2 linked regions of the Lonchura striata genome follow. The protein of the gene in region 1 interacts with the protein of each later gene in a pairwise test. Links are inferred from orthologs where the notes say so. Each region holds a gene or a part of one and is shown on either strand. Other genes may lie near its edges.

What was found.
Region 2: the proteins of PSMG1 (region 1) and PSMG2 interact in binary tests that used the Homo sapiens proteins (3 or more experiments, as listed by UniProt). The link is inferred for Lonchura striata from reciprocal best matches to the Homo sapiens genes PSMG1 and PSMG2.

The regions. Positions count from the first base shown.
Region 1 is NC_134604.1:113,906,335-113,916,370, forward strand, and holds the start of PSMG1 (proteasome assembly chaperone 1), read left to right. Parts: upstream 1-6,293; 5' UTR 6,294-6,309; coding exon 6,310-6,431; intron 6,432-6,656; coding exon 6,657-6,739; intron 6,740-7,871; coding exon 7,872-8,023; intron 8,024-8,373; coding exon 8,374-8,436; intron 8,437-10,036. Other genes in the region: BRWD1 (bromodomain and WD repeat-containing protein 1), read left to right, coding at 1,871-3,000. UniProt on the Homo sapiens protein: Chaperone protein which promotes assembly of the 20S proteasome as part of a heterodimer with PSMG2.
Region 2 is NC_134603.1:53,162,503-53,171,567, forward strand, and holds the start of PSMG2 (proteasome assembly chaperone 2), read left to right. Parts: upstream 1-4,680; 5' UTR 4,681-4,735; coding exon 4,736-4,804; intron 4,805-6,380; coding exon 6,381-6,552; intron 6,553-7,315; coding exon 7,316-7,374; intron 7,375-8,187; coding exon 8,188-8,306; intron 8,307-9,065. Other genes in the region: CEP76 (centrosomal protein of 76 kDa), read right to left, coding at 1,383-1,568, 2,080-2,304, 2,662-2,743, 3,065-3,220, 4,469-4,531. UniProt on the Homo sapiens protein: Chaperone protein which promotes assembly of the 20S proteasome as part of a heterodimer with PSMG1.

The sequences.
Region 1 (10,036 bases):
GTGTCTGTTAAGATGACTCTGTCTTGACAGTTTTCCACAAGGAATATTTATTTGTTTTGTCCCAAGATCTTCTATTTAATACATATATAGGGGCATACTTGTAGAGTTCCTATTTTTTCAAATAAATATGTATTTTTATATATATATATATATACACACACACACTCAACCAGCTAAACAATTTATGTGGAAGCTTTGCTTTGCTTCTTTTTAATGTATATATAATATAAATATCACATAATCTATTTTGATATGTAAAACAGTCTGTATATAGTTCTGTAATGTAGATTATGTTATATATAATATATATTATAGGTGTGTAGTGTTTAGTATGGGATTTTATATATCAGAAAAGATTTAAAGAAACAGAATTTGTTTCAGATAAAATGTGCCAATGCCTTGTGGGCTGCAGTGCCCCCTGCAGCTGAGCTGGTTGGAGCTCAGGCTGGATTTTCCAGTCCAGTATTCCAGGTTTGGAGTTTGGCCTGAACTCCAGGACACCTGATGAACTAAAATTTCACATCTTTGAGGCTTTTAAAAGCTCTCCCAGTTTCTGGGGGTGCTTGGTTTAATGCTCCCTCTTTCTGCCTCTGCCACCTGGTTGTAGCTCTGCAGCTTTTATCTGTGGATGTTCAGTGGGGAATTTCAATACATTTTATTATAGATTTGTTCCAAATTTAAAATTTTGTATATAATTTTAATCTTTTGGCAGTGTTGCAGGCTGGATTTCTTTATTCTTTACTCTTGTATTCCAACTACTTAATAATATTGGAGGACAATAATATTTGTATGCAACAATAATTCTATAATATCTTATACAATAATATTGTATAAGATCTAACTCTTCATTTTAGCCTGTGGATTAATTCACATTTCATACAGCATTTTTCAGTGTGCAGCAGAAATATGCTGTGCTTTGGCCATAAAAATCAGACAATACAACTGCTACAAGTAGTAATATTCATGTATCATGTCTGGAAGCTCGTAACAAAGAAAAGAAATTAATTTTCCTTCGAAAACTTAAAAATAGGGATATACTGAAGTAGTACATAAAAGGATCTACATTTAAATAAGGACCAGATTTTTTATGTGAAGAGATTGTTAATATTGGTACTCAAGCTGGACATTTTTATTTATGCCTGAGAACTTTTCCCTCTGCTTGCATTTTTAAATTTACTTCAAGAACTTTTGATTTTTTTTTTATTCATATGTATGAATTGTCTTACTTAGAAGGGAAACACTGATCTTCATAGTATATGATTTACACATGGAATATTTGTTTTAAAACACAACAAAAGCAAGTTCTATATTAATTTTTAAAACAGTGACTGGAAGATTCACTGTTAGCAGCAATCTGAGTGTTAAAGTCACTAAGGAGCTGAAGGGTTTCAGTGTTCTCCACCTGAAACCATCCAAAATTGAAATTTGAAATCCACATGAAATTGGCATCCACATGAAATATTATAGTTACTTTTTTAGGATAAAAGGGCTAAAATATGTAATTAACACTGCAAGTTTTATTCTAGTAAGGAAAATACAACTTTTAATGATACAAGTATTACTAATATGACAGCATTTGCTTGGTGAGGGAATTTGTAATTTTTCAGCTAATTAACAGAGTAATGCTAAAGAAAGCCTTTCTGAGACCGTGAAAAGGTTTGAAAGTGACAATCTCAAGAGTTAAAAGTATTCCTGGGATACTGCTTGTATTTTTAGTAAAGACTTGAGATAAATTGCACTTAACAGTTGAATTCAAAATAAAATTCAATATTTGTGTATTTCATTAAAGGTGATAGGGTCTGGGCATAATAAACTAATAATTTCAGGAATGTAAGACATGAAAAAGAACTTTTTCATCTTTCTTTTGTAGAGCAAACATCAGAGGAGCCCAGCCAAAGTGGCAAAGTGCTGCGGAGCAGGACGTGCATCATCAACTACAAGAAACACATCAGGGTGTCCAGCGTGGGGGAGAAGAAGAACCCCCGCAGGTGTGCCACGCTGGCAGCCAGCAAGATCAAGATCATGAGCAAAGCCAAGGAGGAATTATCCAGCTCAGAAAGTGTTTACCCAGTCAGGAAGAACCGCAAGCAGCTCCAGGGCAGCGTGTCCTCAGCCTGCAGGAAGAAGCTATTTAACAGCTCGGAGGTGGAGGCTTGTTCCAAGTCTGAAAATGAGAGTGAGCAGGTCTCTGGCAGGAAAAAACCTTCCTGCCCTGAGCCTTCTGTTTCTAAAAGGAAATATATTATTGAGTCTGAGAATGAGAGGACTGACTCGGAGACAGAAACTCGGAAGCAGAGTGATGACCACACGCAGCCACACAAACCCCTCTGTGCTGCAGCTCTGAATAATTTTGACTATAACTCCTCAGAGGAGAATTCCACAAACCACAGGGTAGAAAATGGGGGAAACTGGGGAATTTCTAGGCAGGCAGCTTCAGCCCACAACCATTGTACGAGTAACTCTGAAGAGGAGGTTGATTCTGACTTAGCTAAACTTGAAACTAAAAATACCAGAGTAGCAGCAAATAAAAAACCCAGAGCTTCTTTCAAGAGATTAAAACGGGTGGATGACTTCAAGGAAACAACAGAATCTGAAAAGGGGGGGAAACAAGAGGAGAAAAGCTCTGTCTCCGAGGATGTGGAGGCACCTGGGACTGCAGGAAGATCCAAAGCCAACTTCACCTGTTTCTCCTCGGACTCTGGAACCGACACCACCGTCTGCAGCGACGCCACGGAAAGCAGGAAGCGCAAGAGGAAATCCAAACCCGGCAGGAAAGAAAGCCTCAGCCAGGACTCCCTGAGGCCTTGCAGGAGGCCGCAGCGCAGGAAACGGCGGAAAGGCAGCCAGGAGCAGGACTCGGAGGAGGTGGAGTTCGGCGCGTGCCGGCGGGCGCCGCGGCGCTCCAAGATCCGCACGCGCAACGGCGGCCGGCGCACCGTGCGCTACAACGACGGCGACGACGACGACAGAGCCCTCGAGGATGCCGCCTGCGAAACGTAACCTTAACAAAAGGATAGCCAGCCCATCTCTGGTTTTTTATTTTTCTTTTTTTTTTTTTTTTTTTTTAATGGTAATAGCACTAGAACTCCTGATGGGCGCTGGCTGTTCTTTGTCCTACATTTCAGGGAATATATTTATATTTTTCTATGAAAAAGTTATGAATGTGATTAGATGATGACTTTCTCCTTTTTCATATTTTGACTTGCACTTGCCTGCCCATGTAGCAGCATTTAGCACAGATGCCAAAATGTGCCTCATTATAGGGGCAATTTTTTGTCTTTACTGGTATTTTATTACATATAAACAAGAGTTAAAAAAATGTTAAAACACTGCAAACAGGTTAATAGCAGTATGTCGAGTATTATTGTTATGGGTGCTGCAATGAAATACTACCTAGGTCATGCAACATTCAAGAACAGATTTCAAACATCTCTAATGCTGTATGAAATCATCTACAATAGTAACAGGCTTCTAAATCATAGTACACACTCTAAAAACCTGGTGGATGCAAGCATTGCTTCCAAAGAGGAATGAAAAGGCTGATAACTTCACAGCTTGATTCAGTGCAGGTGTTCAGTGTTCTCTGCTTGCATTGCTGAGAAGCAGTTACCAGTGAAGGAGTTGATTTGCCAGTTCCAGAGGCTTTGGTGAACAGAGGGTTCTGCTGACAGGTAGTACATCATTAATGTGACTTCTATACTGTAAACTTTTAAGATTATGAAATGCAGGTGAACTCTTGGGCCTAAAGGGTTTTTGTGTGTTTTCTTTATAAAATAGAAAAACAAACAAAACACTTGTTCTGTTTTCTTTATGCGTGGAAAGCTTGAGGTGCAGGATTCCGACATTCCAGACCTTTTTTTGCTACGTTTCTGTTGTTCCTCCATATTTAAAGTGTTTGAATGTTGGATTTCCCATTGATTAAACCTTACCAGTTTCTGACCATTGTAGTTTATCTCCTGTTTCCACAATGTTTGAGTTGGCTCTTGTTGACAAGAAAGAAAATTTTGCCAGGAAAATATGTGCAAGTCTCTGATTGAAGACATATCAACAACAAAAACACACAGCAGCTCTGAATTCTTAGTTTTCCCTGGAACTGTGCTGGTGGGAGCCCCACGATGGCTCCCCCAGCCCAACATCAGGGAATCTCTGCTCCTTCCCCACTCCAGGGTTCCTCCTCTGTGCTGCAGCTTCCCTTCCTGATTTTGTCATTCAATAGAAGATGTGACAGAGTATCAGATGGATCCAAACCTAGCTCATGTGAACTGAAATAGCAAGTTCGGGAATTGGGTTGGTCTGATTGGTAGTGGGATCCAGAAGGATTTGGGGGGGTGAAAAAATTACTGCAGCTGCACAATCCTGGTGAATAATGACAGAAATCCTTGTACAAATGGAAAGGCATCATGGAAAAAGGAGATGCCATCAGTGAGAACAATTTCAACACCCTCACTGATAACTCTGATTTTACCATCACTTTTGCTATGTCAGATGTTAGCACAGAGAAATACTCCTTTTTTTCTTCTTCTTCCTTAAAATTTCCATGTGAAGTCCAAAAATAATTTAAATGGTTCTTGCCCCAGGAAGTTTTATTTAGAGCATAGTCTTTAATAGGATGCAGCAGAATTTTGTAAATTCAAGATAAATGTTTATCTGGATTCTATATTTGGTTTCTGAAATACAAACACATTTGTGTTTAGTGATAAAACTTGAAGGTGGCTTTGTGTTTTCTTTGAGGAGCAAAATTTGTTATAAGGTAATAAGTCCACTATTTTTTTCTATTAGCAGCTGCATATTCTCAATGTTCTCTGGAGTACAACTACTCAAATTTGGGAATAACCAAACTGAACATCAGAGTTTTTATTAATTTTCACTTCAAACAGCTAAAATTGGGCCGGTAGGTTTGAATTTCTAATCTAGGTTTAGATTTACAAAGCTGGTTTTCTTTCAGGTGCTGTATTCTGTCACTGCACACAGAGGTTCATGATCCCTGAAAGCTGGAGATGGTGCTGGTTTTTGGAGCTGCAGATCCAAGAGGGATCCTTAGGGACCCTGACACTTTTATTTTCTAGGCAAAGCATGTGATGGTCTGTATTTCCTAATTTTATACAGTTACTGGGAAGAGAAATTATTAAACTGGAAAGGTATTTTGAGTCTTCCACTCTTTAAGAGTATTTATTTTTAATTTATTAAAGGAGCATGGTGGCTCTTGTAGAATTGGCAGTCCTTTCACCTTCCTTTACGTGAGCATTTTTGGTTTGGTCTAGCTGTACTCAGGGACACGAAGTAGTAGACCTTTAAAAGTAGGATCTTTATTTAATGTGACTTTTGGGGGGTGTTTTGGTTTGTTTTAGAGCAGGACCTGAGTCTGTGATGGTGATCAGGCAGCATGAACAGAGGCAAATGTTCAAGTGCAGGACAGAATCATAAAGGAATCAGATTCTTTCATGTTACAGGCTTTGATGATGTACATATGTTAGTGGACCAAAGTAAAGCTGTACACACACCTAGATGTCACTGTGCTCTTCTTTGGTTCAACCAGGCCAAGGGACAACAACCCCGGTGGGGCTGGAGAGCTGGAAAAGGCCCTGGGGGTGCTGTGCCAGGGGCTGGACACGAGCCCAGGGGTGCCCAGGGGGGCAAGAGGCCGCTGGCAGCTGGGCTGGATGAGGAATTGTGTGTCCAGCAGGAGCAGGGCAGGGATTGTCCCTCTGGGCTGGCTCGGAGAGGCCCCTCCAGGGCTGTGCCCAGTTCTGGTCCTGCAGGAGAGACCTGGAGGGGCTGGAGCGTGTCCAGGGCAGGGAACGGAGCTGGGAAGGGGCTGGAGAATTCCTGAGGGAGCTGGGAAGGGGCTGGAGAGTTCCTGAGGGAGCTGGGAAGGGAATGGAGAGTTCCTGAGGGAGCTGGGAAGGGAATGGAGAGTTCCTGAGGGAGCTGGGAAGGGAATGGAGAGTTCCTGAGGGAGCTGGGAAGGGGCTGGAGAGCTCCTGAGGGAGCTGGGAAGGGGCTGAGCTGGAGCAAAGGAGGCTCAGGGGACCTTGTGGCTCTCACAGCTCCTGCCAGGAGGGGACAGCCGGGGGGTCGGGCTCTGCTCCAGGAACAGGGACAGAACAAAACAGCATCGAGGTCAGGCAGGGGAGGTTTAAATGGGCCATCTGGATGATTTTCTTCACTGAAAGGATGGTTAATCCTTGGAAGAAGCTGCCCAGGGACGGGGTGCGGAGCCCCGTCTCTGCGAGCGGCGCTGAGGGGCCGCGCCGGCGCCTCCCGCGCCTGCTCCGGGCTGAGGGCGGCGCGGCGCAGGCGCGGGCGGCCATGGCGACCTTCTTCGGGGAGGTGGTGGTGGCTCCGTCCCGGGCCGGCCTGGACGAGGAGGAGGAGGCGCGGGAGGAGACGCCTGAGGACCGGGAGATCCGCAGGGAGATCGAGAAGAAAAGGTACCGGCGGCGCAGCTGGAGATCAGGGAAAGGCTCTTCCCCGGAGGTGCTGGCACTGCCCAGGGAATGGGCACGGCCCCGAGGCTGCCAGAGCTGCAGGAGCCTTTGGGCAGCGCTGCCAGGGATGCCCAGGGTGGGATTTTGGGGTCTGGGCAGGTCCAGGAGTGGGACTCAATTCCTTGTGGGTCCCTGCCAGCTCGGGCTGTTCTGTGGTTCTTTCCCCAGGGAGATCCAGCTCCTGTGGAGCTGTGCCGAGCAGCCCTTGGTGTGCTCCAGGTTCATCGTGGCCATCGGCAGGAACGCTGCGGGTGCGTGAGAACCAGAACTGCTGGGGTGTGCGGAATAAATTGAGGAGGAGGGAGGTGTAAATGTGCCAGGACATTCCCTGCTCCAAGCCCCAGTGTCCAGCCTGGCCTTGGGCACTGCCAGGGATCCAGGCTCTGGGCACCCTGTGCCACCCTCACATGGAACAATCCCTCCCAAAATCCCATTTAACCCTCCCCTCTTTACGTTGAGCTCATTCCCTTTGACCTGTCATCCCATTAGATTTTGAAATATCCCTCTCCAGCCTTTATTAATCCCCTCTATTTACTGAACGTGCAGCTCCTTATTTAGCAGCAGAGGTTAAACCTGGAGGCAGCTGAGTGGTCCAGAGAAAGCTGAAGTTGCTTTGTAGATGTAAAACACAGTTATTGTTACAGCTGCTTGCTCCTCGTGAAAGTTGATGTATTTTCAGTTGAAAAGTGAAATGTGTTTTAATTTGGTATTTTAGTTAGGACAATCCCCCTTTTCCTTTAACTGGCTTTTGTTTGGTAAACTCTGGGATTGTTTATTCATTGGCAAAAGTTTTAATCTAATAGTACCCAGAAGTCTTGTTTGCATTGAAGTGACATTTACATCACATTTAGATTTTATCAAAGTTAACTTTGCTCATTTGTTTGGGTTTTGTTCAGGCTTTCCCTTGAAAAAACAGTAATAGCTATTTTGGATCTGTCTTCTGTAGCTTTTGATAGGAATCTGATTTCTGAACGTTTTTGCCACACTCTTGCCTCTGTTTTCTAGAATCAGTGTAATAGTTGTGCCTTGCTGCTTCACTGATTTTTGGTTTTAATCTGCTATGTCAGATTAAGGATATTTCACATCCTTAATTAGTACTAAAGAAATTGAAGTTGATTGTAATGCTATAATTCCTAAGAACAAGTGATTTTTATGTTAGGGATCTGTATATGTTGAACAGCTCTTTATCTTTTTAAATTTGAATAAGTGGGGCTAATCACATTGTTGATGTTTCTTAGATTTGGTTAGTAAATCTAAGTTGATATAAATGAGTTATTCTTCCTTCAGGTTGCAAAGGAATATTCTAGTTTAGTCCAGCTATTTATTTGTAAAGCAGAGGTTTTATTCTTTATAAATTAACAGTATATTTTATGGCTTTTGCAGCTTTCCTGTCATCTTTTATCCTGGATTCTGTGTGCTGGGAAGTGGTTGGAGTTGTGAAGCTGTGGAATGAGTGGTGCAGAACATCCAGCACCACAAATGTCCTTCCCACAGACTCTTTCTGTTTGTTCTACAGATTGATTTCAGATCCCACAGTAAGTGACTTGAGCATTAATTCCTCTGTGGTTTGGCTCTCTGAAGAAGAGAGCTTTCATCCAGCCCCAAACTAGATACTGCAGGATCATGGATAAATCTCATAAGTGATCTGAAGGGTTAATTCTCACTAAAACTGTGTGAAGTTCTGTGTGGAGCTCAGCACAGAGATGTCACAGCCTCGTGGCTTCACTTCATTTGTGAGCAAAAATTCCTCATTGAAACAGAGTTAAAGAAACCCAAAATAACTGAACAAGTTATTGTCTGCAGCCACATCATCCTTACAGGTGCTGATGAGCTGCTGTTGTGGCCTTTAAACCACTTACTTACACAAGTTTTTACTTTTTTTTAGGTTGTATTGTGCCAGTGTAGTTGCTACGTGGCTGAGGATCAACAGTTCCAGTGGCTTGAGAAGGTAAAACTGTCAAGAAAATAAATGGAGTAATAAAATCCTAAGGGTGGGGATCTTCCTCTCTGATACTTTAGACATGACAGTGTTAAATAAGTTTCCCCTGTGGTTTTATTTTATTAAATATTCAAAAATAGATAAATTTACTCTCTGCAGGACCTGTAAAAACCCTTTCTAGATGCTGCCAGCTGTACCTGCTGTAACCTCCCAGCCGAGTGCAGTCACTCCTTTTGGACAGTTTCAGTTTTGTTGGCCCTTAACCACCTCCCAAACCTTTTTCCTGCTTGCTTTTCATTTCCCATGGCTTATTTCAGCTGTATTTCACCTCTGGGAGAATTTTTCCTTGAAAAAACCAACAGCAATTTGTACAGCTGCCAAAAGATCACCAGTTGAGGAGCTCCTGGTGGATGGTGTCAGCTGCTGGGGGTGTTCTGTGCCTTTCCCAAGGGGGAGCTGGAGGGGAAAGCGTCTCCCAAGCAGCATTTGTCCCATTTGTTCCCAGATTTAACATTCCCAACATCATGCAGGTACAGGAGCACTGCTGGCTCACTGAAGTCTCTCCAAATATCATCATTTTTATTTTAATAAGATAAAGCCAGGGGCAAATGTTCCTCCTCTTGTTTTTGCTGATGGATTTGGGTCACTGCTTTGCCTGGAGGAAGTGTGGCTTACTATTTTGTCTTGTTGTCTGTCTGCTCCTTCCCTGCCTGCCTTTAAATCTCTGCTGAGCTGATGGACCAGCAGGGATTCTAAAGCTGGGCTTAGAGGTAAGTACAGCTTTGCTGGGGAATCACAGCTCATTTGGAAGTTTAAAAGCCCCGAGACCTCAAATGTTTTGCTTTTGCTGTATTCCACATGTTCCTGCACTTGATTTAAAGTGGGATTGCAAAAGTAGGATGGCTGGGGGTTGTCTTCCCCAGCTGTTTGTGGATATGTGTGATTTCCATTGTGGGTGTCCCTGAACTGTAGGAGTGTGCTTGTACCAAGTCAATGTTCCTGAGTATTTTTAAATTTTGTGGTTATTGGTATTTTTAAATGTGCAGCAGAAACAACGTGCTGGCAGTCTTTTTGCTTTTAATGTGAGTTGCAGCCCCATTCTGTGTGTAAATCCTGATTTACTGAGCATCTCCCATCTCCACAAGTCATATCTTCACATCTGGGCGTGTTTTCTCTGTAAGGATCACTGACAAACCAGAACACACAGGTTGGAGTTTTGCAGACATTAATTCCAGACAGTGTTCCCAACAAAGCAAGTGGAAAATATGCGAGCTTCTGAATATTTCTGTCAGATTTCTGGCACAGTGGTGACACAGTGATGGCACAGGCAGCTTCCCTCCTGGGATTGGTACGCAGACAGAAACAGGCAAGTTTCTGTCACAGTTTCCAAATTCTCTGTTTTCTTTTCTCCTATTGGTATTTTGTGACAGCCAGAAGGTTTGTGTGAAACTCGGTTCTTTGAATCTGAGAAAGAGAATCCTAAATTTTCTTTCTCAACTGGACTTGAATAGAATTAAATAAAACCTGTGCATTTAAAAGAAAGTCTTTTACAATATTGTGGGACATGGGGCACAATTTTTATTTCAAATGTTACGCAGCTCAGTGAACT
Region 2 (9,065 bases), on another chromosome or scaffold:
GGAATAGGCATCTAAAATCGAGCCAGAGAATCACACACTGTAAATGTGCCTATTTCTACTGATTACGCAAGTAGATTAAATTTAAATAGGTAGAAATAAGTGAAGCTCATTTTCCTCCAGGATACAGTTCTTATGAAGGACTCTGGCTGACATACAAAGAAATTTATCAACTTAGAAAAAACTCCCCAAAACAACAAACAAATGAACAACAACCCCCCTGGACTTAATATTGTTGCCTAATGCTGAAAATTTTAAATTACATAAACAACAATGAGCTTTACAAAACAGATCACAGATGGGTTCATAAGCAATACAAGCAATGGAAACCTCACATAATAGTTTATCTGTTTATCTGAGATGGCAGCATCCTTTGATGTTCTTGATGCATTTTGTACAATAACAGGATTTTGAAGAGGAGAAAAAGCACTTGATTTATTGGATTGATACTTTATTACTTGGAATAAAGCTAATGAGAATTAAATTTAACTTGCTCCATAACCCATTCAAGAATTAAACCCTACTTATTTGTTATGCATTTCCAAGTCATTACAGAATATTAAAATCAGAATGGCCTGGTTGGATGGAATCTTAGAAACCACCTATTTCCAATCCCCCTGCCACCTTCCACAAAATCATGTTGGTCAGAGGTCCATCCAACCTGACCTTGAACACTTCTCAGGATGTGGCATCCACAGCTTCTCTGGGAAACTTGTTCCAGGAAAAATTTCTTCTTAAAATCTAATCTAAATTTACTCTGATCTTGTCCTCTCATTACCTGCTCTTGTAAAAAGTCTTGTAGGAAGTAATGAGAGACCTAGTCTTCATTCACTAAATCATATCCTAAATCTTGGGTTGGAAGTCCTGAGAAGAGGACTGGGGACAAGTGACACACAAAAATACACACGCGTACTAACTGCTAAGCACCTAAACCAAGCCGTTCAGAACCACACTTCCAGCTACTGGGATAAATGGGAGCAGAGCAGAGATCCTTTTTTCCAGACATTGTTAATTTGCTATGAAAGGCACACAAGCTGGATTTTACTCCCCAGTGCACTGACCAGATATATTCCTGGAGATGAACTGGATTTTTGGTTGGTTAGTTTGATTCTGATAACTTAACCAGATTTTGCAGGTAATCCATAGTGGGAATTCCCAGGCATGAGAACCATTTTTATATGGGATCTGGAATACTCATTTTTAGCAGCTTGATAACAGAAAAATCTGACCATTAAGTCTTCTAGGGATTTTCTAAGGATAATTTACAGTTACTTCTGAATTGAAGAAAAAAAATTAACTAGATCAAAAATACTGCTTTAAGCTTGTAAGCGAGCTCACTACTCAATATTTTAAGTCATTACAACATGCTTATTTTTCATCCTTACCTACACCCAGGAGTTCCACAGCAACACTTGCTATGCCATTCTCTGCAGCCAAGACAGACCTCCACTCCAAGAAATAGGATGCTACCAGTGTGGTCTCACCAAATGTGTCTGTTTTGATCAGAACCATATGTACTGGGTCACATATAGATAACATAGTGGTTGCATCCACCATCTTGCTTCCATCACCTGCCATTATTAAACCAAAATAAAACAACAAGAATATTATCATCCCAAGTTCTCCTCAGAATTTTAAAACAGTATGCAACAAAATGCAATGTCTGTAATAAGTATAAAGAAAGACCTTGAGTCCAGAAGTGTAAACAATGATCCTATCTCTAACACCATACTCACTTTAGGACAGAGCTACAGAGAGATTACAGAGAAGATAAAATTATTTTGCAGTTGAGTACTGCAATGCAACTAGTTCAGATACACAAAAAATATAAATGGAATTAACATTTAAGAATTTATAAAGCTGGTCAATTTCAAGTTATTTTAGAGTGAAAAAGAAGGAAAAGAGCAAGAGCAGAGAAAGATCTACAAGGGGTATAACCCAATACAGTAATCAGTTTTCTCAGGAAAACATGACAAAAACCAGGAAAAAAATTCACTAAATAATACCAAACATATTTCACAATAACTCTCAGGTCAGAAGAAATCCCAACAGCATCAGCTTTAAACCCACAATATTCCTTACCTAGGGTATCCTTGTGTATTTCAAGTAGAAAACCATCCTGAAAATCTGGCTCACAGGCACAGGGTACAGGTTTGGAACGGAAGCGCTGGTTTCGAAAATGTAAACACAGAGTGAAGGTAGAACAGATCTGGCCAGGCAGAGGCTCTGGTTCCTGAAGATGTTCCAGAAAAGCTTTTCCACCCAAAACCTGAAGGTAAAGATACCTCCGTGTTGGGTCAATGTTAGCTGCAAAGCGTAGCAATAAAAATGAAGAGACTACAAACAGATCTTAGAAAGCTTAATTTGTTAAATATCAGGTAACTAACAGGACACTAGCAAAAAATTAAACTTCTTTGAAACATGCTTAGAAGAAAGTGATTTTAAAATATACCTTTGTGTAAAGTAAATGAATTAATAATAAATAATATTTAATGCAACACTGATTGCTGCTGCTTACATGAGTTTACTCCCTGTGGATAAGCAGAGGAAACATCCACCTTTATTCCAGTTCATACTGGATTACTAATTCAGAGTGCCAAAATCAGAGACTTCAAATTTGCTTTAAAACCATGATCTAAACATTTAAATAAACAAGAAACATACTTTTTTTCAAAACTGGTGGTTCTCTGTCAACAAAATGTGTTGATGGTTTTGGAGCCAAAGTCCTCTCCGTTTCATTCACATCCTGGAATTACAATTAAGACTTTTTAAGGACTCAAGGGATGCAACAGTGCTCTTACCACAGTCTTCTAAAAATTAAAGGATCTTCCATTTCGTCTGAATGCCATTCCTTAGGTATACTCCCTTCTAAAACTGAACAAATATTTTCAGTGCAGTATTATCACCAAACCGATTTCAGCATGTGCATTAATCTTCTCTGCTCCTATAATGTCTCAAATCAGTAAGGTCCTTACAAAACTCCAGAAGCAGCGGTTTCACTTTGTCGAAAAACCACGGCAGTAAGAGGAATAAGCAGAAATATTTCCCTTCTTAAAAAGCTACTTACAGTTACAAATTTAAGTTCCTTCATAACATCATCAATGATTCCCCGCTGTCTTAGGGCTCTTATCAGATCTTCTGTGGACAACTGCTGCTGCTCAGGCGCCAGCTCTTCTCGTACAGTCTCAGCAAGAACTTCTCGTATCCTCCCATGGACATCCATCTGAAAGAAAATTCATTATGTGCTACAAACACCAGCCCTCTGTATGGCAGCAGGTACAACTTACCAATTAAGTCTGTAAGGCTAATGGTGTTTTCCTAAGAACACAGAAATAACGATATCAAAATACTGATCCTTGCACAACTAATCAAATGAGCCACTATCTTACAAAAGCAACTCTCCCAGTAAAAAAAAATTACAAGCATACAAAACCTTGGCATTTTCACTGCTCTTTGACAGCAACTCATCTGGAACGTCCCCCCTTACAAAAAGGTCTGGAAATACATAAATTACAAAATGGTCACTGTTCCATTTTCTTGTCTCCCTCAAAATTCAACCTTAATATAATACTTCCTTATTTTTTAAGGGGAAAAAATATTCATTATATAGGTTGGGCACAAAAGCAGTAGATCTCCTTTGCAAGCTTTCCCTATACTCAAAGGGATGTCTGAGAATGCCCATCATCTGAGCTGTGAAAGCAGATGGATTTATAGAGCTGACTCTCACACTGGAAGGCTGCGAAGGACACAGTCACCAGGACCTGAAACGGAATCACAGAACGACCTTGTTGGAAAACACCTTCAAGATCATCTAATTCCAAAACCCTGGCCATGGGCAGGAACACCTTCCACTAGATCCGGTCACTCAGAACCCCACCCAGCCTGGCCTGAAACACTTCCAGGGATGGGACATCCACAACCTGCTCCAGTCCCTCAACACCCATCACAGTGAAAAACTCTTCCTAATATGTCTTTCAATTTGAATCCATCTCCCCTTGTCCTGTCACTACACGCTGTGGTAAAAAGTCTGTCTCCTTTCTTGCTGGCTCCCCTCAGAAGGCTGCTATGAAGTTCCCACCGAGCCTTCTCCTCTCCGGCTGCACAATCCCAGCTCTCTCAGCCTTCCTCAAGCAGAGGCGCTGCCCCCCTCTAATCATCTTGCTGGCCTCCTCTGGACTCACTCCAAGATCCCCGTTCTCCTGTGACGGGCAGGAATATTCACCACTGCACTAACAAGCGCTATAGGAGTTACAGCCTCCTTACTTATTCCCCGGCCAGTTCAAGACCCTCGCTCAAAAAGCAACAGGAAAGCGACCAAGCGGCGCCTGGAAACCACCTGCAGCGACCCAACTGGGAAAACAAAGCGGGGCGCCGGAGCGGGCGCCGCCGCCACCCGCGGCCGGGTGACACCGGCACGGAGGCCAGCACAGCTCCCTGAGGGCCGGGGAAGTCTCTCCGGCGCCGGGCCCACCTTGAGCAGCTGCTGGTGGATGATCTGCTTCAGCTCCGAGGCTTTCTCCGGCGGCAGCGACATGGCGGCACCGCCACCGAGCGAGCCCAACCGCCCCGCAGCCAGCGCGGGCAGCGCCGCCGCCGCCCCCTGGCGGCGGCACGCGGGTGCGGCGTCCGCGCCCTGCTTCCTTCCTCCCTCCCTGCTTCCTTCCTCCCTCCCTCCTTCCCTCCCTCCTTCCTTCCTTCCTTCCCTCACTGCCTGCTTTCTCCTCCCTTCCCGGCCGGCATGTTCATTCCGTGCGGCCGCGGCGGGGGCTCCGCCGCCCCCGACTTTAAAGGGTTCACTCTGCTGATGGTGAGTCACGCTCCTGCTTCGCCTTTCGCCGCCCTCGCCCTCGGTGCGTTTGAGGGCTCGCTGCCCGCGGTCCCTGTGCCGAGGGCTCCGCTCCGCTCCTGTGGGACGGGACATGTCCCACGGGGTTCTGGTGTCGGTCCCTGCCCTGCCCGAGGCTCGTCCCTGGGCGCTTGGCCGCGGGATAAGCGGAGAAAGCTCAGGGCAGGCGGTGTGTGTGGAATCTGTGGGGTGTTCTGGGAAAAGAGGGTTTGGAGGGCTCTGTCTGCGGCAGAGCTTAGCGCGGTCTTCTCCTTTTCTGCCGGCTTCTCCCTCCTCAGAACCCCGGGTTTGCCCCTGTCAAGACGATCCGTGCCGAGCTGCAAAAGCTATATTTTAATTTAGAGCAATAACTATATGCTATTTCGGAGCTATAGCTATACGCTGTTGCTCTAAAAATTAACGCGCCCTATGTGCTTTTACTGGATTTGCAGCACCCGTGGGTTGTCACTGCAATAAAAGCTTGGGATTTTTTTTTTTTTTTTAATTTAGATGTGATATATAAATGCTTCAAATGTTTTTTTTAAAAAGCCATTCTGCTACATTTAAATCTCGGACTAGGATTGTTTTCGGAAGTGTTTTTATCGCGCGTGACACCGGTGCCGGGTGACGTGCCCGAGGCGACGCTGCCGGGCGGGAGCTGCAGGCTGCGGAGGGACGAACGCCGTCTGGTCTGGCCTCGCTGCGCTGGCTGCAGGAGCGCCGCCGCCCAGGCGGCTCCACTGCCGGCACGGCTGCCGGGGAGTCATTCCCGCTCCGCTGGCGAGCGCCAGGAAGCGCATCCCTGCCGAGCTGCGCGCCTGCGGCGGGCGGGCAGCTGGGTGCCAGCCAGGCGGGGGCACGGCAGTGCTGCCGCGGCCCCCTTCATCTTCTGTCCGCCTCAAATCCGCTGTCTTTCCCCAACAGGCAGCAGCAGCAGTAATTCTTAGATGTGATTATAAATTAGAGGAAAGCAACCGAGCGGTTTATGGTAGTCTTCCCGTAATAGTTTCTTTGGAAGGACACTGACTCTTTACTTTCTCTTTCCGTGTCGTCATATTAGGTCAGTATCTGCCCCGATCGATGATAACCCGTAGCAATTCTTATGAAATTAATTTAAGGGCACCCTTATAATTTTCATCCTTAAAAAATATGTAAAATTACATACTCTTGTCTATGAGTCAGTCTGAGATTTAGAGGCTTAACATGTAATACCAGAGCTGCCTTTGGGCATCATGTGAGCCAGTCTCACATCAGTCACTTGAGTGACTTTTACCTACTCTCAATCCAAAAATGTGGGGAAGGAGGTAAGTTTCCAAGCTGTTCTTTCAGTTTACAATTAGACAGGATTATTCACAGAACTGGCCAGGATGTTTTTTGTCGGACAGAGACCAAATCCTGTATTTACCAATTCTTCTGGTAGGAAATAGTCACCTTTGCCAGAGGATGAGCAGCCACTTTCAGAAATGATGTTTGACCAGATTTTAAGGTTTCACTATTTGAAGAGCACATTATGCCATCCATGAAGTATGCTGTAATTCGGTTCGTTCTGTTACTTCAGCCAGCCGTGTCCGTGGGGAATGTCGGTCAGTTGGCAATAGATCTGGTGATTTCCACGCTTGACATGACTAAAGTTGGTTACTTCTATACCGATTGCCTGGTGCCAATGGTTGGAAATAACCCATATGCAACAGCAGAGGAAAACTCAATGGAGCTGAGTATAAATGCTGAAGGTGGGTATAGAATACTGCAAGCGTTTGCAAGGGACATAAGATGCAAGAACATCACATTTTCTTTTTCGTTGTTGTTAAATTTTGCTGATGTGCTTAAATTAAGGGCAGTAATAACAGCTGCAGAAACCTACAGATAGGAATGTATTCATATTTCACAAATGAAACTGTTCCTGTTGTTATTTTGGAAAACCAATTTGACATTTAGAATGTTTGAGCCATATTGTAGTGCAACCAGAACTCTCTGTGGTATTAATCCAAAGCAATATGAAGTGTGCACATACTTAAAATAAATTATTGGAATACAAGTTGAATTTCTCATTTAGAAAGATACTTATCCACTCTTCTTCTTTCCTACATACCTCTGCCTTTTTCCCTGTGTAATGTTTCTCCCACTCCCCCTACAAATTCTTAATTTCTTTCCCTACATTCATCATTGTATCTCCTTTTTTTTTACCCTCTTAAATCACAGAAATCTCAGAATAATATGGCAATCTTTGCAAAGATGCATACATAATCTGAATCATTACAGAAGGCAAATCCTCATATATGTTTCATAATTCAGTCCTTAAATTAGTACAACTGAAAGTACAATGCACAGAAATATGTGGTTTTAACACAGTGGATGTTGTCAGGCTTTCCCGTATGAATTGATAACTGAAAGGTTTACTTTACTATCCTGAAGTTTGTAAGTGGGGTAATTCTTGATATATTTAAACCCAGATTCTCAGTTTCTGCTTAATATGACAATGATTTCTTCTTGTAGTGTACTCCTTACCTTCAAAGAAACTTGTAGTTCTGCAGATCAGATCACCTTTTATAAAGGTATGTATGTTCATCGATCATTTTTACTTCACTGTTTGGTTTGAATAGTTCTGCTGGCAAAAATATTTTTCTACTTCAGGCTGTAACACCTTCTGCAGTTGGTAAAGTTTTACTGATTTCTGCATTTGCTGAGGCATTTTGCATCATCAGTTTGGGCATTTTGTTTTTCCAAGCCCCACAACAGCTGCCTGTGTTGGTAGATTTTAGTGCTAATATCTCCTTAGTTATTAAGAGTCATGAAAATACAAAATGGTCTGGGTTTTGTTTGTTTATTTTTTCCTTTGCATTTATATTTTTTCTGTATTCTTTGTAATAGCTTTATTCTTTTTTGTGTTATGCCAATTTAATTATTTCATATTATTCTATATTCATTTAAACAATGTTCATTTGGTAAAAATGAGGAATTTAGTATTACTCATTAATTGGGCAGTGGCTGTAATTTAAAATAAGCAGAATGCCACCACAGAAAAGAAAATTGTAGTGCAGTATTTTAGCAGTTCAAAGTGTGGAAAAATACTGTGTGATCCTGCCATCCCATCCTGCTCTAAATCTTTTTCCTTTGGTATTAACGGCACACAAAACAGGTAGTACTGTTGTTCTTGACATGGTCTTAGAGATAATTCTTGTAATTCTATTTGTAGTTTTGCTTAAGTAAACAACCAGGGCAGTTCTCTGCTTTCTAATATATCTGGGGCTGAAAACTAAGTGGATATGAAGAATAATTTACGTCACTGCTAAATACTATATGTAACACCTAGTATTGTTAAGGACACATTAAATTTTTCACTTTTTTGTCTGTGTCTTTGCATGAAGAACAAGTACAGGCCATTCTGTGAAACTCTGCTTTCTTGGGTGAAGAGCAGCAAATTTGCCAGGGTTGTCCTCCTGTCCAGCAGCCACGCATACCAGCGTGATGATGAGCAACTTTTGGGGTATGTTTGTCTCCTTAAAAGATCTAATTGATGTTTCTGGGTTTTTTTGACTGATATATTTCCCTCTACTTCCATGTCCTGAGTACTTTTGGCAGGTGCTTTTACTTGCATGTGTGCATTGGTCATAAAATGCTTAGTATACTGTTAAAACATGACGTATTACAGTACAAGTCACTGAATTTTCTAGGTTACTACTGTCAGAAGTACTGATCAAATGAAAAGCTGTAAGCAAATTGCACTCAGCCTGCATTGCCTCAGTTTCAACTTCTGTGGCCGCAGGCAATATCAGGGCTTAACTGCTGACATACAGGTCACAAGTTAGGTTTTTAATAGTTGATGGCAATATTAGTTTGTTTCTGACCTCTTTGTTATCATTCTGCATTTGAAAGGTTTTCTTCAATACAGTAAGTTGTCATTCCTGGGTTTTGGGTGTTTTTTTATAGGAAGTTATTTGTTGGGAGGCAACTGCAAGGCTGCAATTGCAGTCTTTTTTTAATAGATACTACCCATCCAAAAACCAGGCCTTTCCTGATGATTGAGGGCATCCTATTTGGTGATTTAATGAGAAATAAATAAAATCAGTACTTCTAGAAATAAGACCAGCATTTCTGCAGTTGTTATCCTCAGGCTCTATAAGTGTGTAGGGCCTCAAGGGAGATTTAGATCTATGCATGTCCCAGATATAGCGGTAGATCCATACAATTGCAGGATGGCCAGCTAACATGGAATGAAATGAGAGGGACTGATGGTTATTTGATG